Linked DNA regions of Alligator mississippiensis. The protein of the gene in region 1 interacts with the protein of each later gene in a biochemical or structural test. Links are inferred from orthologs where the notes say so. Each region holds a gene or a part of one and is shown on either strand. Other genes may lie near its edges. The genes, in order: NOTCH1, USP10, RBPJ and FBXW7.

The links.
Region 2: the proteins of NOTCH1 (region 1) and USP10 form a complex in vitro, tested with the Homo sapiens proteins (2 studies listed by BioGRID, with this or other methods). The link is inferred for Alligator mississippiensis from reciprocal best matches to the Homo sapiens genes NOTCH1 and USP10.
Region 3: the proteins of NOTCH1 (region 1) and RBPJ form a complex in vitro, tested with the Homo sapiens proteins (5 studies listed by BioGRID and IntAct, with this or other methods). The link is inferred for Alligator mississippiensis from reciprocal best matches to the Homo sapiens genes NOTCH1 and RBPJ.
Region 4: the proteins of NOTCH1 (region 1) and FBXW7 form a complex in vitro, tested with the Homo sapiens proteins (2 studies listed by BioGRID and IntAct, with this or other methods). The link is inferred for Alligator mississippiensis from reciprocal best matches to the Homo sapiens genes NOTCH1 and FBXW7.

The regions. Positions count from the first base shown.
Region 1 is NC_081835.1:63,112,294-63,119,512, reverse strand, and holds the start of NOTCH1 (neurogenic locus notch homolog protein 1), read right to left. Parts: upstream 3,012-7,219; 5' UTR 2,928-3,011; coding exon 2,846-2,927; intron 1-2,845. UniProt on the Homo sapiens protein: Functions as a receptor for membrane-bound ligands Jagged-1 (JAG1), Jagged-2 (JAG2) and Delta-1 (DLL1) to regulate cell-fate determination.
Region 2 is NC_081833.1:72,403,164-72,410,023, forward strand, and holds the start of USP10 (ubiquitin carboxyl-terminal hydrolase 10), read left to right. Parts: upstream 1-3,850; 5' UTR 3,851-3,948; coding exon 3,949-3,969; intron 3,970-6,860. UniProt on the Homo sapiens protein: Hydrolase that can remove conjugated ubiquitin from target proteins such as p53/TP53, RPS2/us5, RPS3/us3, RPS10/eS10, BECN1, SNX3 and CFTR.
Region 3 is NC_081825.1:39,903,473-39,911,233, reverse strand, and holds the start of RBPJ (recombining binding protein suppressor of hairless), read right to left. Parts: upstream 3,008-7,761; 5' UTR 2,930-3,007; coding exon of another isoform or gene 2,910-2,929; intron 1-2,909. UniProt on the Homo sapiens protein: Transcriptional regulator that plays a central role in Notch signaling, a signaling pathway involved in cell-cell communication that regulates a broad spectrum of cell-fate determinations.
Region 4 is NC_081825.1:96,224,840-96,232,751, forward strand, and holds the start of FBXW7 (F-box/WD repeat-containing protein 7), read left to right. Parts: upstream 1-4,903; 5' UTR 4,904-5,245; intron 5,246-7,912. UniProt on the Homo sapiens protein: Substrate recognition component of a SCF (SKP1-CUL1-F-box protein) E3 ubiquitin-protein ligase complex which mediates the ubiquitination and subsequent proteasomal degradation of target proteins.

The DNA.
Region 1 (7,219 bases):
AGAGTTAGCCAGGAGTCACGTGCCTCTGAACCTAAAGACGGGACATCCAGGCAGGCCTTCCACTGATCAAGGTGGTGGAATCAATACATGGGATCTGCCGTGTCACGTGGGGATGCCGTGACTTCACTCGGAGTAGGTCTGAGCCAAGACAAGCCCGCGTGTGAGCAGCCTACGACAGCAGGTCTGCAGAGAGCCCGCAGCTTTGCCAAACTCCTGGGAGCAAGGGGCTCTCGGGAGAAGATGCCATCAAATGATGCACCACACAAAAATGCACGGCTGATTGTGCTGTGACCGATTTCTAGGCACAACGGGCTTTTCACAGGGCCCGGTCTCTTCTCCACTCAGAGAAAAGCTGTTTTTTTGCAAAGTTTGATGGACTAGAAGCTAGATGCTAGGCTCTTCACTCAGGAAAGCTCTCAGAGAAACACCCATGAAAAACCTGCCTGGGTAAGGGAACAGAGGTCAGGGCCAGAAAGTTTGGGTGACAAGGATGATTCTGCAAACCTAAGCAAGGGATCCAACCAAAAATCATTGCTCACTTGAGCAGTCCATTGAAGTCTACTCACTAGACCTGCACAGGCTGCTAACATGGCCCTGAGAGCCAAATGTCTGCTTTCAACTCTCTCTGGAAAAAGCTCACTGCCATACTGATGATAATGGCTCCTGATGTACAGTCAAAAACTTCTGTAAAACCCATAGAAATAATAAAGAGTAAAAATGCCCAGGGAGAGGGTGGGGGGTAGATAAACCAAGAGCAACAACCGCTGGAGGGTCCAGAGCACCAGCAAGACTGGGGGCGGGGGGTACCAGGGCTGCGCATACGGTGTTTCCAGTCCAGGGTGTTTCCTTCGCAGATTCACCCCCAGGGCACTGCTGCAGGGTGGCGGGAGAAGGGAGCCGCGAGGCAGCTTTAAAGGAAAGCCGCAGGGCAAAGAGCGTCGCGGGCCGCTCTCCCGGCCAACTTTATCTGCCAACTTTCTTTTCGGCGTACAGGGCAGGCTGGGCGCCGGCTTTCCAGCCATCTACTGGGATTGTTTGCCCCGTTCCCCCCTCCCTTCCAGACTCCTGCATGCCGCTACTGTCCTGCCTACAGGAAAACGCCCCCGAAACGCTCGCGGAGCGTCTGGCTGCTGGCTGTGCTGCAGGGGGAGAATGGAGAGTTGTCAAGCACCAGGCGCACACTCCCCTCCTGGCTCGTGGGAAAAAGCAACAGCTGCGGAGCAGAGCCTGGGACAAAGGGGGAAATCAGAGCTGGCCATTGTCAGGCCTTCAAGACACCTCTTGCTGCGGCAGTGAGTGGAGGGCAGGACTCCGGCAGGGTCTCGCACTTGATACTCAATACCTGCTGCTTGGAAGAGCGGGTGGACTCAGACAGCACTCGCTCCCCTGGGGCTTGCCTACACAGCAGCCTCTGTCTTGCTCAGCTATGCAAAGTGCAGTGAAACCAGACCGGGCCCGGCTCCTTCCCGGAAGGCTGCTGCGCTCCGGCTATGACTAAGGGCCCGCATGAAGCGGGGCTGGGTGCAGGGGCTGGGGAGGGGCAAAGGCAGGGGCAGGGGCAGCGGATGGGCTGTGCCCCGGCGGCAGAGAGCACCCCAGCTCCCGCCGGCCCCACCGGGGTGGGGGGCACCAGGGGGCCCGGCAGCTTGTCCCCCAGCCCTGCAGCCCGGCCGGGTGTGAGCCAGCCCCGGGCAGGTACCGGGGGAAACCCAGGGGAGGCTGGGAGGAGCTGTACGTACACACACACACACACACACGCACGCTTTCTCCCCCCCCCCGCCTGAATGCTCTGGACACACATGCAACAGGTCTCATACAAAGAACAATTTTCTAACTATTTAGTTGGTCTAATAAACTATATCACATCTACCTAAAGAACAGTGTCTGCCTATTCACATACACACACACACCCTGTGCGTTCACACACGGTCACATGCACACATACACACGCTCCCCCTGCCTGCCTGCACTGGGCGCGCGCACACACACACACACACACACACACACACACAACTCCCCCTGCCTGCATACTCTGGACACACATCCTCCCCTTGACTACATGCACGGGACACGCACAGCAGCAGTACACACAGACACTGTCCCCCCCGACTACATGCACAGGACACACACACACACACACCCCACCCCCGATTACACACACAAGATACATGCACAGCAGCGTGCACACCCCCCCCGACGGCATGCACGGGACACATGCAAGGCAGTACACACACACACACCAACTCTCTCTGCCTGCATGCGCCGGACGGACACACAGACATACACACAACCCTTCTGGACTACACAACATGCACGGGACACACGCATCTCACCCCCCCACCCCCTGACTACATGCACAGGACACACACAAGGCAGCACACACACACACACAAACACACACAATCCCCCGGGACTCCACAACACGCATGGTACACACACACACACACACACACACACTCACCCCCCCCAGGACTACACAACATGCATGGTACGTACACACGCACACACAATCCCCCGGGACTACACAACACGCACGACACACACACACACACACACACTCACCCCCCCAGGACTACACAACATGCATGGTACACACACACACAATCCCCCGGGGCTACACAACACGCACGGGACACACACACTCACACAACCCCCCAGGACTACACAACACGCACGAGACACACGCACAGCAGCACGCGCACAAACTACACAACGCTTCCTGCCCCCCGCCGACTGCGCGCAGGGATCTCTCTCACACACACACACACACACACACACGCGCGCGCGCGCTCCCGGCAGCGCGGCCCCGCGCCGGCAAGTGGCACAAGTTGTCGGTGGCGCTCACCTGGCGCGGGCGCGGGCGCGGGCAGGAGGCAGAGCAGCAGCAGCCGCCGCAGCAGCGCGGGCAGCACGAGCCGCCGCCGCATCCCGCCGCCGCCGGCGCTCAGAGCCGCATGGAGCCGGGGCCGGAGCCGGAGCCGGAGCGAGCGCCGCTGCCCGCCGCCGCCGCCGCCGCCCAGTCACCAGTGCTCGGCGCCGCGGGACCAGGCTCCGCCCGGCCCCCCCGCCCAGCTCCGCTCCGCTCCGCTCCGCTCCGAGGGGCGGTGCGAGCCGCCCCCGCCCCTTCCCTGCCCTGCCCTGCCCTGCCCTGCCCTCGCCGGGACAGCTCCGTGCACCAGCCGCCTCTGCCTGCAGCCCGCGCCTCCCGAGCAGGTGTGCGTGTGCGGCACGGCACCTCCTGCCCGCCTCACAGGGGGCAGCACCGTACACCTGCAGACCCCCCGCCAGCCCCCGCCCTGGATCTGCTTTTAAAACAGCCTGGGGTGTTGGTTCCCCTCACCTTGAACTGGCACTCAAAGCCCAATTTGGGCACCTATTGAGTTGGTCTAATAAAAGAGACCCCATCCGCCCAAAGAACTGGGCAGGACCAGGGTGTCCTCTCTCCCCCCACTTCAGGTCTAGGCAGGTCTGATTCCTCCCAGGATGTGTCCGGTCCCTGTTTGAATCTGGCGGGGCTGAATGACCCATGGGGTGAAAAAGAGAGGGGAGCGGGCAGAGCAATTGCCTCTTTGCGGGCGCCGGGTGTGCAACAGGTGCCAATGCCCCCTTGGTGTGCCCTCCGCGGGTCATGCAGGCCCTGCGGCAGAGCTCATGCTCCAGCCCAGGGGCTAGGACCTCCCCAGGTATGCTGTATTTAATAGGTATGCCCTATTAAAACAGCCTAGGTGGGCTACAGGGTGTTTGTTCCCCCCACCTTGAACGTGCAATCAGTGGCATGCAACAGCTGCAAGTGAACGAATGAGCACAGAGGGCAGATCTGGAGGAAGGAGAGATCCTGTCCCACACTCCTACCCCAGGAGTCTGTAGGGTCGTGCTGCCACACAATATTGTCCCTGGGAGCGGGTCCTGAAGGATCTCACATCCACCGACCTGCCAGCTCCAAGGCTGGGAGGCAACAATAATAGCATGTCCCACTGCCTCCATCACCCCTCCCTACAGAGCTACTCCAGCAGGGCCAGGCCATTCCTGTATAATCACAGCAACCGCAACTGAATTGAAACCAGGCCACCTGTTGAGGTGCTGAGTTTTTGCTTGTGAAAATGGGACCAGAGGCTGTGCACAGACAGAGGTTTGCAGCGTGCCCGTGGCAGCACATGGGGCAATACTGCTCTACCCGGTCCCCTGGCTGGCATGCCACCATGTCTTCCAGGCCCGTGCACTGCAGAGCGAGGTGGCACAGCGGTAAAAACATATTGGTGCCGTGTCTACGTTAGCGCTCTCTAATAATCCACCACCCAGAGCTATGTTCGTGAGTGCAAATTTGGGCAAGGTTCAGAAAAAGCTGAGTGTAGACCAGGACTCAGTGATCCTCCTAGCAGATCGGGGGCAAAGTCAAGAATAAAGTCGGGGGCTTCCTGACTTTCCTGGCTTTCTCCTTTGGTTTGCTGGTGGCTCTGCGGATAGCCAGGTGTGAGACCCACCGCGGGGTCTGTCCTCATGTGTCTCGTGGCAGGTTTAGGCTTCTTAGGAAAGCGGAGTTGTACAGCAAACAGCTGTAGCTATTTTATTCCTCCCATGTAGCCAACTCAGTGTTTTTTCCCCCCAGGTTTTCCTTCCTGGTAACACTGCCAGGACGAGCGTGTGTTTGGTCAAAGGAAGAAAAACGGGAGGAGGCCCTCGATGTGACACCCCTGGCTTGTCTTTCCTCGGCAGGCACCTGGGAGTGGGTGCCATCCCACTATTTCCTGTTGTAAATGATTTCCAGAGCACGTGTGAAACAATTAAACAAACCGAGGAGCAGACTCTGCTCAACGAGATCAAAGGAACAAACCCTACAGCATTGTTTTTCTGTTGTGCTTTTCCTTTGTTTCTCTTGCCTCTTTTGTCCTGGGGCTTTGCCTGGAAACCCGCCTCTTACTCGGGGGCTCAAACATGGATTTCAGGCTGAGCTTTTCTCAGGGATCCGGGTGGCCTCTGGAATCAGGGCTTGAATTCAAAATTCAAGCCTAGATGTATAACTTTAGGCCCCCACATTTGAAAAAAAAAGAAATAGCCTCTGCGTCTACCCTGAAAAATGCAGTTCAGATAAGCAAGGAGCCCCCTTTTGAAAAGCAGTGCAAGGATGAGATCAAAAGAACTGCAATCCAAAACTCACAGGCGTCCACAAGTCCAAACTCACGGATGTCCACACAGGTGTGCACAGTGGGTTATAAACAGCCCAGGAGCAGGCCTCGGTACCAGCCTGGATTTGGCTTAGTTTTAAGCACACAAATTGTAGCAACGTTTGGCTCTTTCATAGGGATGGAGAGTGGAGGGTGCTAACCCAACGAAGCAGCCTAGTCGTAGCCACGGGCAGGTAGGATTGTTACTGCAGCTCTTTTCTGAAGTTGCTCGGGTGTCCAAAAGCCCCACTCTCTCCCCCCCTTATACTCTGGTTTGCTCTGGTCACCGAAACAGGTATCAGAGTAAAGAAGGTCACGGGGCCTGGGGCTACTCACACGCTCTGCACACCCCTGCACCTTAGCACCTTTGCTCAATACAAATACAGCAAGGATCTCCTTTGATCGTCTCCTACTTGACATCCCCAGACCCGGGCTGCAGCTTGCACAGGTTTGCAGCCCACAGGCCGCGATGCTCTGTAGTGTTCTCGTTTCAAGGGACTATAAATCAAGTCTGAATTGGCTTTGAGGGTTGAAGCGTGTTGTTTTGCCCTGGCACATCTGGAGCCCTCGGGGAGATGGCATTTCAGCCTGTTTTCCCCATCTCCTTGGTTTTGTTTTTTTTCTTTGCTTTTTTTCAGTTAGCAGGGACCATCTCTGCTCTACCCGCTTGGAAATACCTATGTTATCTTTGCCTGGGCTTGTTCCCTGAGCAGAGAAAGCACTGCACGTTCAGCTTAGCTGTGTGCCTGCTTGGGTTATTTCTTCCAGAAACCTGCCACGAGAGACTACATAGGATGTTATGGGACTACTTCAGAAAACTCAAGGGCCCTGGCTTTATCTTTAATTTCTCCTGGCCGGTCCCTTGTGCTCATCATCTCCATCTGTGACAGGCAGAAAACACGTTTGTGAAGAACACCAAGGTCCTTAGCTGAAACAGGCCGTCTCTCTCCCTGGCAATGCCCCTTGATTTCTTTTAGGGCCACAATCCCCCGGTTAAGCCACCAGCAGCCACTGGTGCTGGATCTACTCTGCGGTCGAGGATCCTCCCAAGAATGGGCACCCTGATGCCGGTGCAAGGATGGGTGAGGCTAAGAGACAGACCAGTCTAGGTACAAGCTGCCGCAGGGGGTCCCGGTGGGTCAGGGTTGATGCGAATTGGGCCGCGGTCCCCCTTCTTCTATGAAAGACAAAGGTGGCAACAACAGAAGCTGTTCAGGTCAGGTCACCCCCATACTCCCCGTCCCCTGACCTTGTGGAAGCCCCTTCGAGAGACGGGCTTGGCCAGGTAAAAGAACGTGTAGAGTCCGAGTAGGAAATAGATCCGGGAATATTTCCACCCAGGGTCCCAGCCGTGGCAGAGAGCTTTCCGAATGCAGGCAGACGCTAAACACAGCTTCGGGTGCATCAAATGCAAGGGGCCTGATCCCGTCCCCACTGGAACGGGCTCGGTAGGGAATAGAATTGGATCCAGAATCCAGTGGGTCCCATCGGGTGCCTGCGGCAGTCGCTGCGTTCTCCGTGGAAGCCTTTCCAACCCCGCCAGTCATTATGATGAGAACTAACCTTCCTCGTCCGCTATCTAAGTGTGTCATTTTAACCCAGTGGAGACCTTGACTGCAAGGCACATCTCCCCAGCACAGCTTTTCAGTACAGAGCAACCTTTCATTTACTCGTTTACTCAACCACTTCTCCTGAGGGCTGCAACCAATACCCATGTTGTTGTTTTAAGAAAAAAAAAAGACATGCTCTTAAACACTACATGAAAATACTTTTATAATAAATTGAAAAAGTTGTGGGTGACTATAACAAAGCTCCAAAGAAAGTGTTTATTTGGAATGGTCTCTTGGGCTAAAGGAATGGGATTTTAGGTACGCTTTAACGTGATGCTTGTAAAACTGCTTTAATAGAAACACTGGCAAGTGTCCATACAAGTAGTTTTCTTTCAGAAGGAAGGAGAACCCCACATAATACCTTTAAACATTTTAATAAGTTAAAATTAAATGAGTGAAACCCTGGGAATTTTTTTTGTTACTGCAAGCTAGGAAAATGATGTGCAC
Region 2 (6,860 bases), on another chromosome or scaffold:
GTACTGGATGTTGATGAGCTTAACAGACACAGGGCAATGGATTTTTGCATTAACTATTTCAAACAGATGATAGAATTGGCAAAACCTGAGATCAAAGAGACTTCACAACAAGTGAAAGTCTGTTGTTATGGTTGCCTGAACTATAAGATAGTTTTTATGAAATACTCTTGAAAAATAAGATGTCACACTGTTCCCCTGGTGTTACACAAAGATAAAAATATTAAAAATGACAAGCTCTGTATGATAACCCCTGGTGAAACTGAGAATTTGTTCATTTTCATATGATACCTTAACCAACATTCAGTTCTTTCAGAAGGTACTATAATAGGCTTTGAAGCTTAGTAGTAATTTGTCATCCCTTCGTAACAATATGAAAACAGTTCAGCAGTGTCTTGTTTTTTTTTAAGAGGGTAACACAAAAGAATCTCACAGTTTAGGTAACATTTTAAGTTGCTAAAAAATAGGATCTCTTTATTTCTCTGTGCCCTTAAAAGAGGTTTGGAAATTGTTCATATTTTCTCTTACTAATCTAAAAGCTTTGAAAAGATTTTTAACTCTATAGTGAATCAGAGGTTGCAGTTGAGCTGAATTATTCATCTGGGGCTATAACCATAAATTTAATTGAGTAATACTGTGAAACATATGTTGTGTACTTCATGCAATAGTACTGATATGTATTGCTCACCTAGTCAGACTCACATGGTGCTGAAGACATATCCATAAATGGCCATCCTGTATGGATACATTATATAATTATAATAACTAAAAAGTATACTGAGGTTTGTTTTCTTGTGCTTTACAACTGATTATCCTACGCATGATGCATAACATATCCTATGTTAATGAATGGTTGGACTTAATATCCAATAATTTACCAACAATATCTGTATTTACAAACATTACTTTACCTCTAGCCCCCTTTTTTCCGAAGGCAAGTATTCTCTTACAAAGTTTTAAAGACTAGAGTTTGGTTCCCTAATCTCAGCCAGAGGTACTCTTTTATGGCTTGCATCACTGTTTTAACCACACACCTTTTCCCCATCAGCTACTGCTTGGAATAATTATTAATTAACTAAAAAACTGGTGGGTGGTGTGATACTGCAGCATTCTCATCTATAAGTTCAGCCATTTATAATTACACCCTTCCCTGTCAACTGCTTGCTTTTACTTGAGCAAATTTTCTAGCCTGACATGGGTCTTGCCCTCAACAAAGGTAAACTTTCCAAGAGTTTGTACCTACCCACTAGTTTCCTTGTAAAATAAACACCTAGACTGTTTTTCAGCCTAGCCTTAAAACTATTAAAGCTGTTTGTTTTTCCTCAATAACATGCAATGTTTTCTACTTCTAGTTTCTTCCCGGCCCGGATTAAAACAGCAACACTTGTCAGAAACAGAGGAGAGGGAGTGGCAGGGCTGGGGTGTGGCAGAGAAAAGGTACAAAAGCAAATACAGAAAAAAATAATCTGCTGAGAAATTTAAGTCCTTATTCCATCAAGTTGCTCATGCTTTGGTATATGCACACTTAGTGCAGCTTCACCTGAATTGCACAGTGGGTAAGGCCTCTTATCAAAACAAGGTGGCTAAAAGCTTTCCATCTCTGGTGCTTTTATGGAGGAAAATGTTACTCCTAGAATAATCAAATATTAGCTTCAACCCTAATCGTAAGCTCAGCAGAGATGGGTATTTCAGTTCTTCTAATGCTTCATTTCATAGTTTCACTTGAAATTGTTGGTAACAGCCAGGGACAATATTTTTATTCGGGCAAAAAAGTGAAGATTAAATTAAAAAAAAAAAAATCAGTCGGGAGATTTTTGCAGGGAAAGGAAAAGCCCAGTATGTCACTACATATGCCTGTATTTTCCTTTCTATTTGTCTTCATGCATCATTTTTTCCCAAAGTTCAATTAGGATTTAATTGTTTCAGTGGTGAAGGCAAACATCAAAACTTTGGTTGCACTCCAGCGTATCCTGGGACGTCGTGGCGTGCACTCTACATTTCTGGAGGCAGCCCGTGACCGCACGTGTGTATGTTCTTAATCGGGGTTTTTATTAATACATTGCAGATATACTACCCGTTATCCTGCCTGCTCACCAACTGCATATGGCAGCTCGTCTACTTTGCCGTGATGCAGTGAATGGGAATGCTCACTTAGTTTGTCAAATGGAGCAGACAACTCCTTCACGCATGGGATATAGCATTGTGAGGGTGGGGGGGACCAGACTAGCATTGAGGTGCTATTTTCTGGGGCGCATAGAACAATTTAGGACCTTTACACATGCTATTAGCAGCTTTGCAAGAGGAAGAATCACCCTGAGCTTGCACAGAACCAGGATAAATGAGAACTACAGAGTATTTTTGGAGTGACATAGCCTCAATGGTCTAGGAAATGTGTGAGAGGCAAGAATATTTTTTTGGGGGGTGCTATCCTTTATTTAATTCAAGCTCTGCTGCTATTTGAGACCTGAGAGAGGGGTGTGTGCATATGTGGGCAGAGGTTGTGTTGCAAGCCTAATTGTCTCTGCCAGGGCCAGGCCCTGGTTTCTTGGTGCTCTGAAAGCTTTCCTAAAATCTCTCTCACCCAAGTAGTGAGTTCAGTTGATCACCTCCAAATCTAACTATGGAGGTAGGACAGATTTCTCTCTCTGAGCCTGCTGTGCCTCTAGGCCTGTCCTTTAAGGCTGCCTATGCGCAGATACTTTTACTGGTATCCAGGTTGTAGTCATGTCAGTTCAGAGGCAAAAAGGAATCGGGACTTGTGGTAGAGGTGATGGCAATCAGGACCCATGGTAGAGATGATATCTTTTACTAGACCAACAATATTTTTGCAAAAACATTTCTTTAATTGCAAGCTTTCGGGCACAAATACCCTTCATCAGGCACTGGAGAAGATTGTACAAATTCTCTTGGGTAGAAACGAAAGTTCATATTTCATAAGATTTCAGAGGTGTCAATAGATGGAAAAATCCATTTTGGTTTAATAAAAGATATCATCTCTACTACAAGTCCTGATTGCCTTTTCCTCTAGACTAATATGGCTACAACCTAGATAGCTGGTAGAGGTGATATCTTTTATTAGACGACCTAGATTTTTGCAAGGGGCAGGAAGGCAGCTGGGGTCAAATGATTTTTTTTTTTTGCAAAAATCTAGTTGGTTTAATAAAAAATATCACCTCTCCCATGAGTGGCGATACTTTTACAGATCATAAAAGGGTAAGAGCACCAGCCATGGTGCTTAGCAAAGCATGAGGACGGTGCTGCTTGGGTCAGCCTCAAGCTCAGAGGCATGGGCAGACGCAGCTCTCTCTCTCTTTTATGAGACCAACAAAATAGTTGGGGGAAAAAATTGTTCTTTGCAAGGTTTTGGGCACAAACACCCAGGCATAGGGAGAGTCTGCTGGTGTTATGAGTTCTCCAAGGTAGAAAAGCAGCAGGGGATATTTTCGTGGCTCTGTGCATGCCTCAGGGGTGAGAAAGCAATCAGAGATAATATCTTTTATTAAAAACTATTCTCCAACTATTTGGGTTGGTCTAATAAAAGATATCAGATTCACCCAAGGAACCCTGTCTGCCTATCTTTTATTAGATTTTTTGCAAAAAAAAAAATAATAATAATAATAATAATTTTGAAGTGCAAGCTTTTGGGCGCAGACACCCTTCATCAGGCAGCAAAGGTCCTTCCCAGGCCCCCAGCCCTGCGCACGCTGCCTCCTTGCAGCCCAGCCCAGCCCCGCCCCTCTAGGGCTTGAGCTGCGCCTGCGCACTGCCCCCCTCCCTCTTCCCTCCCCGGCCATGCGCAGACGTCGCCCCGCGGGCCGGGCCGAGCCCCGCGCCTGCGCAGTGCGCCGCCCGCCCGCCCGGCTGGTGTGTGCGGGAGACAAGATGGCGGCGGCGGGGGCCGCGGCGTGAGGGGCCGAGCCGACGCTGAGCAGCCGGGGCCGCGGGGGCGCCATGGCGCTCAACAGCGCCCAGGTGAGGCCCAGCCCCGCGCGGGGGGCCCGCGGGCCGCTGGCGGAGCCGGGGGGCGGCGCGGGGCGCGGGCAGCATGCTGCCGGCTAGGCCCCGCGCCCTTCTGCGGCCTCATTCAATCGCCTCGCGGCGGCCGCGGCGCCTCCCCGCCCCCTCCCGGGGCCGCTCCCGCGCCCGCTCCTCCGCCGGCTGCGCTGCGCCGCGCCGCGCCGCGCCGCGCCGGGGAGCGGGGCCGGGGCCGGGGCCGGGAGGTTTGCAGACAGGACTGCGGGGCAGGGTGGGGCGGGTGGGGGCAGGGGGTGCAGCACTAGCGGGGGGCTGCTTCCTTTTCTAATTTATTTTCTTTTCCTTTCTAATTTATTTTCTCTTTCCTCATTTCTTTTCTTTTCTAATTTATTTTCTTTTCCTTTCTAATTTATTTTCTCTTCTCATTTCTTTTTCTTCTTTTCCTAATTCCTTTTTTTCTTTTCTTTTCCTTTATTTTCCTAATTTCTTTTTCCTCCTCTTTTCCTAATTCCTTTTTTTCTCTTCTTTTCCTTTCTCTTTTCTCATTTCTTCCTTTCACTCTGCCAGGCTCTGGTTTCTCCGGGCTATCCCTCTTCCTCCCCCTTAAGTGGGAGCAGCTCCCTCATTGGGGTAGCGCTGTTTGTCGGTCTGTATTTCTCTGGTTTCTGAGTATTAACACCCCTCCCCCCTTTTTAATTTTTTTTAACTTGGACCAACTCCCCTGTTGGGGTAACGCTAGCCAGGCTTTCCAATGCAAAGCTGTCTGCCTCGGGCACAGGAAGCTGTCTTTGTGCCCTGGATGAAATGCCCTCTGCCCTCCCCTTTCCTTTGCGTTCCTCCTTCTTTCTTTTTTGTGGACGTTAGGGGAAGGTTGAAAGGTGTCCCAGCAGCTCCGTTTGGGCCTCGTGCCTTTGCAAGAAGAAAAGGCAGGGGGCGGGGCGGGCAGGGGGCGGGGCGGGGCGAGGCGGGACACATGTTTGAATGGGCAAGGTGGAGGCTCGGGGTTTTAAAGACGGGCGTAAAGCAGCAGTGCCTGCCCGCGCTGATGGGCGCTGCTTTTTGTAGGCAGACGAGGTTGTTCGGGTAAATCGGATATCTTTTCTTAAACCAACTCAAATAGTTGGAAAAATTCTTAGCAAGTTTTTGGGCTCAGACACCCTTTGTCAGGCTGAGGGAGCATCTTTTTGTAAGCATATATCTTGAAGCGGGGGGGGGGGGGGGGGCACGCCAAAGTTTTCCTGAACTTGGATTGCGTTGTCCCTTGCACGGCGGCCTGCTACCTGTTGTTTCATGGGGTTGGGGGAAAAATGACATTTCATCCAAAAAAAAAAAAAGGTGTTAAGCTAAGATGGTCACGTACTGCGTTTTGTTCTGTTTTCTTTCTGAAAGTTATTGACTAAAATATACAGCTCTAAGAAAACTTCCTATTAATTATAGCATTTTTGAAGCACAGTTTATACTTGATGAAACTACTCTAGTTGCATTTTTGTCGGGCCTGATTTTGTAAGCTTTTTTTTTTTTTTTTTTTTTTTTGGACACTTAGTGCTTGGTTTCTTTGCCTTGTCATTGTACTTAAAGTTTCTACACCTTGTTCATTTGTACTTAATGTATTAGTACGTAGCATGGTGCTTATATAGTTTTATGCTCCATAACTTTGCAAGAGCTTGACCAATACATGGTAATTAGCAGGCAGACTACAACTTGCAGCGTTTGAAAACAGAAATCTCAAGGTTCAGCTTGCAAGCATTTTTGTTTTCTTCTCCATCCACCCTGCTCTCAGTCCCCAGAGTTGAGTATAACAGGCATTGTATACAGGTATTTTTATTCAGGTATCATGTGAAACTGAAAGGCGGGTTTTCATGATGTGCCCATGGCAGATCTTGGTCCCTGTCCTGATGTTTCTTTTTGAGAAATAGTGCTGATCAATTAGTAGGGCTGATCAATTAGTAGAACTGCACAATGCTTAAAAATAAACTAGTTTAAGTGTAACATGCCTTCACCTTTGCTTTTTCCAGTACTTGCTTTTTTTGTAATGAAAATCATTAGGGCCCTGATCCAAAAGAATTGAGTTTAACTTTACATACCCTTGAGTATTCTTGTTGTCAGTGAGATTGCCCTTAAGGTAAAAATCAGTATATCAAACTCAGGATTTAAGCCCATTTGTGCATATCTTTAACAAATGAGTTGATAGAACAGTTTTGCCAATAATCTTGGTAAATTTATTTTTATCAGCAGATTTTGCTCATCTGTATTTTGTTCTATAGAAAGATATTGCTTTAAATGCTTAAAGTAGGGAGGTGAGTAAAACTTGGCAGGGAAATGACTTCTGAGGGCATCCTCAAGAGAGCAGTTTATGGAACGCTGAGGTGAAGAAGAAAAGTTTCTTATATGAATGAAGGTGAAGTTTTTGATGCAGCTGTGTTACTGATTTTTAACGTCATCAAAATGTATTAGGGTAAAGACTGAGGAAAAAAGTTTAATATGAACAAAATGTTCCAAGATTGGAACTCTAAATCGCATAGTATTTGTCTTCCCCCAAGATAGGTATTTTTGAGTTTAATTGCTAAAAATAGTTTGTCACAAAGGAAAGATCATAATTTGCAGCTCAAGAAGACTGTTGTGAGAAATCTGAAACACAGAGTCAGATTTTGCACAAACAGTGTTCTCATACCAAGAGATTTTTAGCAGGATGGGGGAGACTAAACACAGGTTTTCATTACACATGTAGTGCTTTTATTTGAAAGGAGAGTGTCTGACTCGTTGAAAAGCTCAGTTTAAAATTAGTTTTGATGATCCGTACAAAATGCATTTGAGAATATCCCATCACAGTTCAATTGCACTGGCTGCTTGTGCTTTTTAAAATTATTATTCTAAGAAGCTATTTCATA
Region 3 (7,761 bases), on another chromosome or scaffold:
GTAATTTCCCTGTGCCACTACTTTGTCATCTCTATTTGTATCACATACCAGCTACCTTCCTTATTTCTACTGCATAACAAACACTGGGCATTTTGAGGCCCTTCACAATCTATCTTCACCTTACTATCCTTCATTCACTGTTAAAACACAGAACCTCACCTCCAGTCAGCTGATTATACCAGTCTTCTTTACCCACTTGTTAAAATTTTAAAAAGGTACCTTTGTATTTCTCCCATGCTGCCGCCAACAGCTACACACAAAATTTACAAACCTGATCAGGCTCCCCCAAAACCCTCCTTTTCCTTACTGTCTATAAGCAACAGGCTGCCTATCATTCTGTCCAATGCCATCTCACCAGCTCCCCATATCCCCCTCCCCCCCCATATGACTACATTAATTTTTGGTTTCTTGTCGTATATTTAGACAACATGCTCTTTGGGGCAGGGACCTTCACATAGTTCTGTTTGCACAGTTCTGAGTACAATGGAGTCCTGATCCATAACAAGGTGATTTAAGGGTTCATAATTCCAGAGTTGTTAGGGGCTGGAAGGAACCTTATAGATCACTGGGTCCAGTCCCCCTGCACTTGGGCAGGAAAGACTGCTGGGATCATACATAATAAATCTAAATCTCTCATGGGCCTTATATAAAAGCTGTATACCTATGCATTTTTCAACACAGGTAAGCCTATGATAAAAGAATATTCCATCAGCAAACTGGGTGAAGGTCACAGTGCCAGAAATACAACTTCTATAGCCAGGTATTACTGTTACTAGTCCTTTCAGATTACTGGAACAAGACAATAGGTTTATCAGGCTTATGTACTGCAATTTAGTTTTAACAACTAGTTTTCATGAAAAGATAATATTCCAACATTCACCTCCCAGCAATTACAAAGCATCACTTATACGCTTCATCTAGAAATTTCATGATTGCTAGAAAGTGCATGCAAGCAACAAAAACAGCATGCAACCCTTGGTTACTACATTAACAGATTTATTTTATTTTTAATTCTAAACTGTTTTCTACCCTGTTTTCTAAGATCGTGAGTGAAAATTAACTACACTAGAATGAAGAGAGGTTTTACTACTGTGAAAAATGCCAGTTACTAAAAGAAAACAGGGTATCACATTGCTAATCCAAAACCTAAGTACACTAAAAACACAAAAAAACCCCCAAAACCACTGAATAAAATAAAAACCATACCCGTTAATACATTTTAGCACATCTTTTCAAGGTTCTCTATGTTTTAGGTGATTAACTAATTCAAGATCTGAGGTTAGAATTATGACTCCTCCCTCTCTTTTTACAGGATTTAACCAATTTGAAAATGCTAAACAATAGTTGTATTGTTAGAATTGAAACACAGAGAAACTTCCACCCTTACATTAAAACACAACATATTTTCTATTCCTTTGTTGTTAGTGTGTTTCTCTCATTCGTAAGTTCATTAATTAGTCAAAAATTAAAATGCATCTCCTGGAAAAAACAGATGGGATGTCACGGAGAACATTTCTGTCCCAATCAATAAGCAAAACGAATAAAACTCAAGCACAGAGGCAATTAAGTGACCAGAAACTGGAATAAAATTAACATGCAACCCATGTAAGGCAAACTTTTAGAAACACCATTATGTCTTACTCCCCCAACTCTAGAACTCTAAATAGTGTACTCCACAGATTGCAACACACAAGACTTGCTGTTTTAAAGAAGGTTTAAGCAGCCAAAATAAGCAACAGCAGCAAGTGCCTTTTGAACTCGAATAAAATCAGGCAACAGTTTAACGCTTGCTTTTGACAACCATGAAACAAGAAACTAACAAGTGCTAAGGCCAAAACAAAACAAGAAAATACCATAATGCCGCCACCTCCATAAGAACAAAAGCAACCACCACCAACTCCACCCCACCCCCAAATAGGCTTGGCTCTGTGCTATAACCACAGAGCCAAGCCTAGAGACTACGTAATCCCACGGGGAGAAAAAATCACAGATGCGATGTGAAGGCAGGATATTTAGCCAAACGTGCAAAAAACACCCCCCTCCTCCCCCCCACGCCTAGAATTATTTTCAGCCACCAGGATTTTGTTTCAATCAAGCAGGTGGGGAGGAGGCAAGGCCTACTGCTGCCCTAGCAGCCCCAATCCCCTTAGGGACCAGGCCGGGGGGGGGGGGGGAACTACCCAGCGAGACTAAAGATTAGGAACAGGCTGCAAGCAGGGTTCAGGATAATTTGGGATACCAAGAAGATGCCCACACTCAGCAGTAACACAGCAGGTGACACGGCACGTTGGGGCTCGCGCTCTCTCATTCTCCCTGGCCCGCAGGGGGCATCTGGAAGGACACCGTGCGGGAGAGCCGAGGGGTGCTGCGCGGGCGGGAGCTGCAGCGCGGCCCTGACAGCAGCCGCAGCCGGGCCCCGGGGGTGCAGGGGAAGAGGAACATCTCGCTTCCCGCGCCAGGGAGCAGTGCCCTCCCTGCCGAGCCCCACGCCGCTCGCGTAGCCACGCTGCGGTGCGTGGGGGACTCAACTTCTCCCGGGACATTGCCCGGGAGCCTTTGGGGGGGACTCTGCCGGCAGCCAGAGAGAAGCGCCCTCAGGGCAGCATGGAGCCAGGCACTGTCCCGGCACGGAGCTGCCCCAGCAGCACGGGGCGGGCGCAGGCCGAGCGCTCCCGGGCGAGCGGGCGCGGCCTCGGGCAGGGGGCGCCTCGGCCGGGGCGTCCGCCCGGGGGGTTCTCGGCCCCCGGGGCCGCGGCCCGGGGCGTCCCGCCGGGGAAGCGGCCGAAGGGGCCCAGCCGCCCGGGAGGAGCGGGGCGGAACGGGGAGCGAGGGCGGGGCAGGCGGTGGAGCCCCGGCGGGCACGGGCGGGGGCCTCGGGCGGCGCGGTGCGGCGAAGCCTCCGCACTTACCCTGTCACAACAGGCGCCATCTTCCACAAACTCTCGCCAAAACTCCTAGTCTCGCGAGAGCGCGGCGGCCCTGCCGGAGAGCGCGCGTGCGTGGGCCCATAGAGCGCACACGCGGAGCGCGCACCACCCCCCGCGCGCCGGGCTCTCCCAGTGTCAGTCAGACACAACAGCAGCAGGCGTGGGAACCTGCCCGAGTCTCGCGAGAATGCCGGCGCCGAAGGGAAGAGGAGATGGTGCGTCTCGCGAGAGGAGCGCGAGGGGGATTCCCTGTCGGCGGCGGAGTCTAGGCTCGGAAACTTCCTGCGCCTTGGGGGCGGGAGAAACCATCCCGGGCGGGAGGGGTCTGCGCAGAGCACGGGGGACGCGCCCATTCGCCGGGGGGACGCGCCTCGGAGCACAAAGTGGGCGGCGTGGGGTGGGGCCGGGCCGTAGTTTCCTGTGGTGGGCGCGTGGGGCCGGGTCTCACCCGGCGCCCCACCCGCCAGGCTTGGGGCAGGCGTACCCGCCCGCAGCGCAGAGGGCGAGGGCAACCAGCAGGGAGAACTCAGCTGCCAGCACCTGCAGGCCAAGGGGTTTGCCCTCGAATGGACAGCAACTGCTACGGGCACGTGGCCCCCGGGACCGAGATGAGCGGGTTTCCGGCTGTGGCCGTGGGGGAAGGAGGGGCAGGTGGAAAATGAGGCCGTGATAAAATGGAAGACCGCTGGGCTAAAAAAGAAACCCCCCAAAAAGTGATTTAAAAGTAAAACTGGTCTTAGGACAGCCTCTGTGAAGGCCTCCTCTGGATGCTGCCCCTTCCTGTCGTTTAACGTGATTCAAAAACCCACCGTTCAAGCTGTGTTTTTGCGACCGAGTTTTAAAGTCTGTCAAGCCACTGAGCGGGGATGAAGTCGCAAGCAAAGCCTCAGGACCCAGTTTTCAAGCAAAGTGGAAAAGCAGCTTTAGACATCTGGGCCCTCTGTTGTAGGTGGAGAAAGAAGAATCCTCTTCCTTTTGTTCAGTTTTGTTCATAGTTGAGAAACATTTCAGCTCGTCGTTGCCGAGAGGCTTATTTTCTTTTTCCGATCTATCAGTCAATACTTAGGAAACACAAGAGGTTAAAATCTACTTCCAAAATCTTGACGCACGTGTCGACCCAACATAATTCAGTTCACTAGCTACATAGAATGCTTAGTTTGTTTCATAAGTCAACTTAAAATTTAGTTTAAAATGTCTGGACTCAATGAGGGGGCTGGACTCAATGATCTTCCAAGGTCCCTTCCAGCCCTAATGTCTGTGAATATATGCAACTTTTTTTCTTCTGTGTCTGTCACACTTCAAGTGTATTTATTTAACCAATAAAAACAGTAGTAAAATGCTATTCCTCTGCATTTTATTCCCAATTCCATCCAAATTGCAAGTTGTAAACATTCAGGATTTAAAAAGACCTACACTCTTTATTCCTTGGGTGAATTTGGTATCTTTTATTAGACCAACCCAAATAGTTGGAGAATAGTTATTAAGCAAGCTTTCGGGTTCAAAAACACTTCGTCAGGCTAAGGAAGTTTCAGCAGCTTAATAACTATTCTCCAACTATTTGGGTTGGTATAATAAAAGATATCAAATTCACCCAAGGAACCTTGTCTGCCTATGTCCTTCGACCAACACGGCTACAACCTAAACTCCTACACTCTTTATTGTTTCCTAACCTAAAATAATGAACCAAATGAATATTAGTAGCTACTAAACTATATAATTGCTTATGTGTAAAGATAATAGATCCTTTTGGTTAGCAAAAATACAGACATAATTTAGTGTAAAAGCTATATCAGGACAAAAATCAACAAGAATTAACCTTTCCTCAGGAAATTAAGGAGTACAAATGCAAAGAGGACTGAAATTATCATGTTTTTGATTCAAATCATGATAAAAACCATGATTTGAAACAATCCATCCTGTTACGACTGCTTTTCAACCAAATCTTTTACCTATGATCTATAGATGTGTTTGAAGCTGCAGGCTCTGTTAAGGATGTTAGTGCTTAGTGCAGGGTGGGCAATTATTTCAACTGGAGGGCCACTTAAATGAGTTTTGGTGAGCTGTTGAGGGCCGCACACACAAAATTTGTAGAAGGTATCATTTTAACAAATTGTAGATAAAATCATACACTAAAAAAAAAAAATCAAACATTACTGTAACATTCTATTTTTATTTTAAAAAAAAACAACAATTTTTGTCCTGACTTGGTTTTTTTGAGTAGTGTATATAGAGGTGATTGCATAACTCAAAATAAAGTCTTACTCTAGTATATTGGCAGGGATGGAGGGGGTGTGAGTGGAGGGTGTGGGGTGGGCATATTGTGGGGGAGAGGGGAGGCTGCCTGAGTGCTAGATTCCAGGAGCTGGCCTGGGAAAAGAGGGATGGGACAGGGCAGCATGAAGCAAAGCTTTCCCAGACAGTATGGCCTGCAGCTGCCCCCACAACACTGCATAGGTCCGAGCCCCCGCCCGCTCCCACCCAGGGCAGCCCATACCTGCTAACTGCAGCCCGGGTACCAGCCAGCATGCACAGCTTGCTGGTGAGTGGTGTTTAGCTACCGCCACACCTCCAGCAGCTGCTCCTCTTCCTGCTCATGCAGCGCCACTCTGGACAGGAGGGAAACTGCAACCAGGTGGCTCCAGCTCTTCCCAGATGTCTTCCACTCACTCAGCTGCCTGCAGGTGACTGCTCATCATGCAGGTAGAGGTAGGTAGGCAGGCAGAGTGGGTGGAAGGCAGCCTGGAGCTACAGCTAGGGCAGGAGCCACCTGGGTGCAGCTTCCCACTCACCTGGAGCAGCGCAACAGGGGCAGGAAGATGAAAAGCTACTGGAGCTGGCGGGAGCCAAGCACCACCTGCCGGAAAGCTGCAAGTTCTGGCCAGGCGCAGCAAGAACAGGTGGGAGTCCAGTGGTGGCTGCCCCCTGGCAGGGCTCAGCCCCATGTGGAGTACTGTGGAAGCGGCCGCAGGCTGGATCCAATCTGGGCACCCTCCTGTGGGCCATACTTTGCCCACCCCAGCTTACTGTCGCATACATCCCACATTCAAGATTTTAAAGATTTTTTGGTTTTTTTGATGTACATAGAAATCAATGTCTTTGAACTAGAACATTTTCTCAAATTGTGGACTTAATGAGATGGAGTGTTCAGAAGTCATTGTGTAACAAGATAGATAAATGCCAACAAGTTGAATGTAAGACCTTGCTTCACTCAATTAAATGATCTTAAGAGTTACTTTTTGGACAATCTGGAAAGGTTAGAGGTTGGATGAGAATGCATGAGAAGAGGTATCAGTATCCAAGATCTTAAAATATTTGGATATAGACTATCATTTTGACATTAAGAGAAAGAGAGACAACTTTCCTTTGGGGTTCAGAACAGGTATCTTAGACCTGAAAAAGTAATTCGCATAACAAAATACAAAGTTGACCTTTCGAGTTAAAGGGCGGTTGTCTATTAGATACCTGTGTTTAAAAAGACTAAGATTACGGTGCTTAAAGCTCAGTAGTAGCTCCCATTCAGCTTGTCTTCTTCATCAATCTAGGTTCAAACTCAAATCTAACATTAATTAAAATCCCAATTTGAGAAGGAGATTTTGAGAGTTACTTAATTTTTACTAAATCTGCTGGCTCCCATACTTATAAAAGATTGAATTTTCCATCATGTCCATGACTCAGTTTTTGCTCTGTTTTTATACTTACTCTCCACTGCTAATGCTAACTTAATGCAAGGAAGAAAATCTTGCCAGACAAACTGTAGTGAACTCATGCTTTGGAACTACAGCAAACAACTCAGTTATAATTCAGGAGACTCTTTTCCTATCATGAGTTCCCTCTCCTCATTAATCATAAAAGGATTTTGATTGGTTCCTTTATCGGCACACTCTTCATCTGAAACACAGTGTATACCGCAGATCCTCTGTATTGTTTGTGAAACAACAATTTGTAATCCTTTTGAAAAATTTCTTCTTGAAAACATCTTTTTTTCCCCTCCAAATTGAAGAATGATCTCATCTCATGCTAGTTCCGTCCCATTAAGAATCGTTTCTGGATTCTTGCCATCAACTGTCTCTAGATGGTCATTTTATGGGGCCCCTCTTTTGTGTGTTTTAAATTAAACTGGAAAATGTAAAAATATAGTGCACAATAATATTTAGTGTCTAGACTTCTTTTAATATTTTACAAATAAGACATTTTGATTAATAAAAAAATTAATTGGATCTCAGAGAAGGCACTTTGTTTTCAATAATTAATAAATAGCACAGTAGTTTAAGACTACATAACAGTGCTTTCTATCACTGATTCAGGTGTACTTAACAAAAAGACACTACTGAAACATTTTTAAAATCATAAACCTTATGTAGCAGTACAAAAGGTCAGTCATACTGAAGGTCAGGCTCTTGAACTAAGTCAGGAATACTGTCAAAATCAGAGTTGGTCTAAAATTGGTACTTTCTAGGGGAAAAATTATGGCAAAAGCTCAGACAATTTTTTGTAATTATCACTGTTTATATGTATGACTTCTTTTGCTAAAGGGCCCAACCTCAATAAAGCACAAAATACTCACTTTTTACTGACTTAACTTCAGCACCTCCTTGGATTGAGGTCTAAATTCTGATCGTTGGTAGTGGACAATGCCAGATTTGAGTAATGACGAATTTTAAATACAAGGTTTAGACAATAATTATATGGATTTATTTGTTATGTAAGTCAATGTTTTCAACCTCCTGTGCCAAGTGAGTTAAGGCCCATTACAGCCATGCTGTAACAATGGAAAAGTTCTAAATCTAGCCTACATTTTTAAATCTGTCTAGTGATATTGGGGCATTCTAAAGGG
Region 4 (7,912 bases), on another chromosome or scaffold:
ATCTTTTTACACTCTCAATTCACAGTCTGCCATTTATTATCCAGCCCAGAGTTATCCACTGCTATATCTCATCTTCCATCTGTAAATGTCACACTCATTTCCATGTGCAAAGCCACTGGATCTGGTCCCCCTGCCTGAAAGGAGGCACATTCAGATGACCAGGATGCTGATGCTGCTGTTTTCTCCTTTGGCACCCTTGCCACAGTCACTCAGGATCCCAGCCAACAAGAGGCCAAGCAACAATCCAGAGAAGCTCACCACAGCAGACCTCTGAACAAAACTATTGGCTAACGAAGTCCTGGTGCCACGGGTGGAAGCTGCCTAGCTGCCAGTCAGGAAGCCTTAACAGTGACCAACTGGTTACTCAGTTGTAGGAGGGCTCTCAGATACAGCCTCTGGCAGGTTTGGCCAGCTAGGCAATTAAGCCAGGCTGTGCTGCCTCTGATGCTGGAGAAGCTCTGTGTGGAAGCCAGTTTATCTCTGTGTCTCAGTTTTCCCATCTGTAAAATGGTGATCAGGATACTGACCTCCTTTGTCAAGTACTTTGAGAACCACTTGTGAAAGCTGGATACTATTATTAAGACAAGGCATAGCCAATACCTTACTGCACATCCTGGAGACCTAACCAACTGCTCTTGTATCTTCCTAGTGTTTCCCTCAGATCAGGCCCTGGATATTTTAATACTGTATGCAGGATCCCTCTGGATTTTGGATAATTTAATCCCTAAAACATTGTAATTATAAACCACTGTGACCATTGTGGTTTATGGTCTTCACAGCTGCAGACAAAATATGCAGGGTTTTAAATGCCCTTGGATGGTAAAGTTCCTGGAAGAATAGCCAAGTTTTCCTGGGCTTAACATTTCACTGCCTGGGGAAGAAACACTTCAGCTAAAGACATCTACTTTTTTATGGAGGCTGCATGGGATAGTAGAGATATGAGGATGGATTTAAGACTGTGTGGAGTATCTTAGTGCTGCATTTCTATACTTTTTACCTTTTTACCTTCTACATTTGAATTTAATGGCTTTTAGATCTATTTTTATCCAAGCTTAGTGACCCTGCCTATTATTAAGATTGTCTGATGCTATCCTTTAGAACATAGAGGAGTCTAGTAGGCAAGGGAGAAACTGGTGAGGAAAATTAAGGGAGAACAAAAGCCTGAAGTGAAACTGTGATCAGATGAAGTGCCAAGGGTCTGGCTTGGCTAAAAGACTAGGACTAGGGGGAGTGTAATAGTGGAGAAGAAACAGATCTGACAAGGAGAGAGAGTTGGGATTGGAGGAAGAAAAAATAGCTTCTTGTAGTTAAGAAAGAAAACTACCCCAGAGAATATTTTAGCCATGCTTCTACTACAGAGATCCTTTGTAAAGTACTTTCTTTTTGAAGAAGTAACTCAAACCAAACTTATTATAGATGGTTAGTAATTATGCATCCCTCATTTTCTGAGCTGGATGGGCCTGACTTGCAGTGCTGAGCACTGGCTTCTACATTTGAACTCAATAGGTCACTGTTTTGGAGTATATAAAGTGATATATAATGCCAAGTTCTCTGAACAACCAGCATTTTAGATTAGGCACCCAAAATTAGTGAGCGTTTTTACCCATCTCTCTGCCTCAGCTCCTCATCTGTAAAATGAGGATAATAACAACTCCGGTATCTCACACAAGTTTTGAGAAGATAAATGTATTAATGTTTGTGAAGCTCTTGGCTGCCATTGGAATAGCTTATAAAAAAACAAAGCAGTACATCCCTGTCTCTGTATGTCAAAGCAAGCGGTGTTTTAAAGGCCTAAGTCTTGGTCCACTGACCAACCCTCTCCCTTTATCCAAGCCATGAACTGGTGCTGTTTTGCATGGGACTGTTATCTAAATTTTTACGTAAGTTGTACCCTGGGGACACTCCTAGAGATGTACTCTGTTCAAGTAGGAGAAAACTGAAATGCTTAATATAGAACAAATACATATGAAGAAAAATTGACAGGTAAGTCACCAGTGCAGTCCACCACAGGCAAGGATATGGGACGTGGACCCAAGACTGAAAATTATCCTGATGGCAGTAAGACATTTGTACACCTGTCAGGGAAAATGACACCGCCAGATTCTTGCTGAGACTCATCACGGGAGTGGGAATGGGAAGGGAAGCTGGCACCTGAAGAGAGTGGGAACTAGGGCTAATTGAACACGGAGACCAAGACAAAGATGAATAGCCTGAAAAGTAGAGATGTGCCACTTGAGAAGCTAGAGCGCATGAGAGAGGGACTGGTGCTGTACGAAGGTTTGGCCATATTTGATCATTGGAAGATATTCATAGAACGAGGACCCTTCTTGATAAATGGAAGCCATCTGAATTCCTGTATGTGCAAGTTAATCACAGGATAACTACAAGCCACTAACAGCTTGTAGTTACAGCTATGAACAAAGCAAATGCAAGCCTAAAATGTATAGATTAGGTATTCCAGTAGAGACTGGGTTGTATTAACTGGACAAGAAAGCTCAGGTGTTTCTGCATGGCACTGCAGTGCATTGTCATCCCACAAAAGGAGAAGTCTAAGAAAACAGAAGAAACTTCTGTGGTGCTCAACCTTTTCTCCCTGCAGCCTGGATGGGCAGCACCTAGTTTGACTGTGGGCCAGGTCTGGCCAGTAGTCCTGATCCAGTGCCCAAGGCAGGCATGGCAGGCACCATTCAGCTACATGGAGGAGATGGAAGGGGCAGGTTGGCTCCAACTCACCCCTGCAGGAGAAAGAAGCTTGATTTGGCCCCACTGGGGGAGGAAGTGTGGCCCAGCCTTAGCCTAGCACTAAGGGAGGGGCCCTGACTAGGCCCAAACCCAGCCCGGGTGGAAGTAACCATGCCTTGCCCCAACCTGGCCCCAGGGGTGTGTGTGGCCCAGCTCAACCTAGAAGTGGGGGGAGGGAGTATGGAATACCAGGGGTACACCTGGGCTCTGACCAGACATGAGAGGCTTGGGTTTGGGGAATTTGGCAGGGGGCAGGGTGGCCATCTCTCTCTTGCTGCCAAATTTCTGGACCTATGGGGAGTCCCATGGGCCAGATGAGATGGCTCTGTAGGCCATATTTGGTACGCAGGCCAGTGGTTAGGACTCCTAGTTCATAATGCTGATACTTGCATCCCTGTTTTAGAAAAATTCAGATGAAAAAGCAAGGAGATGACAGGTTTGAAAATGCATTGGCTAACATTTAACCTCTATAATCATTGGTACTTTTTTTTCCCCTTACATGTGGTTAAAGTTCTTGTTAATTTCACTAGTGATTTCAAAATAAGAGCAATTGCATAGCATTTAGACTGATGTAGAAGCACGAGAGAATACGAGATTTAAATTTAAAAGAAGCATACTTATGTAGATACACAGTAAACACAATTATGTTGGACATAAAAGCAAGAGGATTCAGGCACTGGTCCTGCTTTCCATCTTCTGTCTACAAAGAGCACCTGGAGCTCTCAAAAGAACTTTTCTTTAGGACCCTAAAAACTAGAGACAGACACAGCATATAACCCAAAATGACTTTCCAGAAACATTGCAGCCTAAGTCAGCCAAGGCCTAGTTGCCAATAGCTATCCTGCTGGCATGAGAAGATGACAAGGGTGCTTTTTCAGTCTCTGAAGCAACCCAAGCTAGGGTGGGAGACCAGCAGTACTTGTTTCCTCTGTGATCTGATGTTGACTGTTGATGGTAAAAACTTGTGGTAGGAAACCAAATGTTTTCACCACAATTGCAGAGGAAAGGGAGGTTGATATCAATGTGCTTTATGAGCAGAGCTGAAATTCTGGGTTAAAAGGAACTGCTGTATGGTTCTGTAGAGGGCACGGATGAAATAATCTTCTTTCCCCTTTTTCTTTTCTGTTGCTGATTAGTAGCGAGCTGGATGCTTCCATTGACAAAAAACATAACACCAGCACCACAGGCTTCCAGTGGCAATTGTGAAAGACAGTTGCCTGGCATCTCCCATTTAGTGACACGCCAGACCAGGGCATTACCAAGAGTGGCAACTACCAGCCTGTTCCACTGCATCAAGCACTGGGGGCCACACTTCCTTTTTGGCAGGTGTGCAAACTGGCCCCACCACTCCTTGAGTACCACTCTAACCCCCGCGCCTTTCCCTTGCCTATGGGGGTGCTCTGCTTTCTGCTCCCTGCCTCACCTGCTGCCCTGCTTTCTGCTGCTCTGCTTTCTCCTCCATATAGTGCTCTGCTCCCTGCTAATCTGTCGCTGGGTTCCCTGTCCCCTCCGGGGTCTGCTGCACGCACAGGCTGCCCATGCCTCCGGCGGCTGGCAGTATGCTGCAGGTTGGCCGCTCCCCATTATAAACTAGGGAGCAGATTTGGCTTGCGTTTCCAAGAGCAGGTGAAGGGGGAGCCAAGGGCGGGAGTAGAAGGCAACCTCTTACAGCATTCTCCTGCCCACGAGCAGCGGTCCCGCTTGCCCCTCGCAAAGCCCGTCCTGCTGCCCCCTCCTTTCCCCTTCCCCCGCTCTGCGGCGCGCACCGCGACCCGGAGACCCCCGCCGCCCCGACCCCTGTAAAGACCCCCGGGGGGCGGGACAGGGCGCTAAGCCATTATGCCTGCCTCTAGGGAGCAGCCCTGCTCCGCGTCACGAGACGACTTGCCCCTCAGTCAATCACAGCGGCAACCCAGTGCCGTAGCAGCATTCAAAGCCCAAGCCCCGCCCACTGCTTCTACTCGGCGAGGGCGGGGCTCCGCTTCCTTCGTCACCGCCCCTTTGTCCCGGCCTGAACCAACCCCGCCGGCGGCGCTTCCCCCCTCCCTGACGTCATCGACCCGCGCCCCCGGCCGGGGGTGTGGCCTGTTGCCATAGTGACCAGCTGTCATCTCCGTGCGCCGCGGCTCCCTTCCCCCTCCCCCCCAGCAACCAGCTCTCCCTGCCGTCCCCACCCCCGCCGGAGCCTCCCCCCGGGGCTTGCCCCGCGCCGCGGCTCACCCATGCCAGAGCGCGGCGCGGCGGCGGTGCCTCGCCCGGCCGCCCCCGGGGCCCCGCGGGGCCCCTAGCAGCGCCCCGCGCCTCCGCCCGCCTCAGCGTGCATGAGCGGGGGCCGCGGCCCGGCCCCGCCGCCGCCTCCTCCTGCCCGGTCCGGCCCGGCGGCGGCTCCATGTGAAGGCCCCCCCCTCCCCGCCGGGGCACCCCGCGCCCCCGGCCCCGGCCCGGCGGGGGGAGGCTCCCGCGGCCCCGCCACGGCGAAGGAAGCAGCCGCGCGGCCCCTGACGTGAGTAAACGCCGGGCGCGGGGGAGCACGTGGGTGCGGCGGGGCCGTTGGGGGCAGCGCCCCGCCCCGCCGTCGGGGCCGGCTGTCCCGGGTCTTTGTCGAGGCAACAAAGAGCTGCCCCTTCGCAGCCAGCCGCGGGGCCGGCCCCCTCGTGGCCCGCGGGGCGGGGGAGTGCCAGCCCCCTCTTGGCTCGGCCCCTCTCAGGGAAAGACCCCTGTCCCCTGCCGGAGCCAGCGGTGGCTCTTCCATGGGTTGCCTGAGCTGGGGGTGCGGAGGTGGCCTGGGCTGGGGGGCTTCTGAAATCCTTTGAGGTCAAACCGGCTCCAGACGGGCAGTGCTTTCCTGCCTAGGAGCGTATGGGCAATGGGAAAGCCTGGCCCTCGGTGCTTTCTGCCTAGGAGCGTGTGGGCAATGCTTCTGTGCCGCCCTGATGCGGGGAGTTGAGTGTTGCCTTCGTAACTTTCCTTGTTTCTGGGAGGACCAAGGAACTTGAACTCAAATCATCGCCCCCTTCCCTGCTGATCCGAGCACCCATGGGGATAGGTGGCATCTTGCCATGCTTAATTTATGCATCTTCAGAAAAAGCAGCGTGGGTTAGTTCAGTCTGACAGTAACATTTCTCAATCAGGTGCTGCAGCACCTTGGGGCGCCTGGAGATCTTTACCAAGGTGCCACATGGTGCTAGCATGGCGAGGCGTGCACTCATGATGCACGTGATGGCTTCAGAGATTTCAAACAGGCATTCGGAGCATTACAAATGCTTTGCCCGTTCAGGCTTTCTGGGTTCTCAGCTTTAGTCTTTTTCTGTTGCCAGAAAACCAAGGGAAAGCTAAGAGCTGGCATTTTCTGAGAGGGGCTTCTAGTCTTACTGAGAGGTGCCTCAAGTTTTTAAAAAAGTTGAGGACAATTGCTGTAGCATCCTTGGCCAGCAGCTGTTGGCGAGTTACAGCAGTCAGGCGTTATCCCACCACACAGGCTCTGAATAATTTAAAATCTTTGCAGGTTGCGTTTTACATTTGAGCGTTTGGTTTGTGCGCGCTGGGTGTGTTGTAAGGTTGTGGCCAAATTAAGTGTGGTTCTAGCGCTTTGATTTACATGGTAGGCACTTCAGAAGTATTGGCTCTGATGTAGTGCGGGAGTTTGTATAATTTTCATTATGAGTATTTTTTCCATACAGAAATCTAGAAAAGTATGATAGCAAACTCTAGCTAGGTAATTTCCCCTTGCTTGATATTTTCAATGAATGGCATAGAAGGTCAACAGTTGACACACTTCTATCTAAATTCTGGTATCAGCTAGGAATATTTTAATTGAAAGACCTTGTTCCCTGTCTCCTGCCCGTATGTTTGCTGCATACATTTGGCAGCAGGTAGAGTCAGTTTCCCAAGTTTGTTTATAGCCATTTTTTCACTGGGAAGGAGTTGGAATCTAAATCCCATTGATTTCTTTTTTCTCCTTGGGTGGTTCTGTTTGTTTTCAGACTCTTATGATTTAAAGGGCAATAACGTATGCAGAGACAACCAGATTACACGTGTTAATTGCACGCCAAGCTTGTAGAACCAGACTTTGAAATAGATTGTATAACCTCCAAAGTGGTTAGGCAGGAAGAAGTAGAAAAGGTACCTGAAACTTTAAAAATCCTTTCAAGTCAATCAGCTTGAGACAGGCAGCGCTTTCTTGAACAGGAGTATGCGTACAACACTCCTGTGCATCCCATATGCAGTGCATTGAGTGTTGCCTTCATAACATTCCTTGCTTCTGTGAGCACTGAGGAACTTGAACTCACTTTACCACTCCAATTCCCTGCCATTCCTGGCATCCATAGGGATAGGTGGCATCTTGCCACATTTAATTTATATATGTTTAGAAAAAGCAGTGTGGGATATTTCAATCTGACCATAATATTTCACCGTTCTCTTAACACAGTAGCTTTTTGTCACATCTTGACTCCAAATTAAATGTATTTTTCCCTTCCTGTTGCTGTTCCCCTTCCATTTTGCAATAGCCACTGTTCTTTGTATACTAAAAAAGTTATGTTCCTACCTGTTAGAGCCATTTTTACAGTATTGTAGGTGTTCAGTATAGATCACCTTGTGAAAGCAATTCATATTTGCTGTTTAAAATGGAATAACGCTATTTTTTTATATTTGCATTACCCTCTTTGTTCTCAGTGTGACCAGTGAGTCTCATCTTATTCATTATTACATTGTTGTTGGGTAGAAACCCAAACTGAGAGAAAAATACTTAAACATCTTATAAAAAAAAATTGAGCTCCATTCATGGTAGCTATTACAAACTATTTCCTTCCTCCCCAAACTGAAAATAACTTGCATTTCTTCTTGGGTAGTCAAATTTTACATTACCCATGGCAGACACTCACTGTTTTTTTTGGGGGGGGATAGTGTTTACATGTTCATTCTTCTAAATAGAATGTCAGAAAATGTAGGGTACAGGAGGACTCCTTTTGGGCCTACCATCCTCTTTACACAGAGGGGCACTGTTGCCAGTCTGGCTTTATAAAAGAAACTTGAAATAACACATGACTTGTCTGAAGTATCTGGACTGTAATTAGTCTGATACTTGAGCTTGTTGACTCTTGCTCTTAAGACCATGCAACTCTGAACTGATTTTGCATATACACCATTAGCATACCTGATATCAAAACCA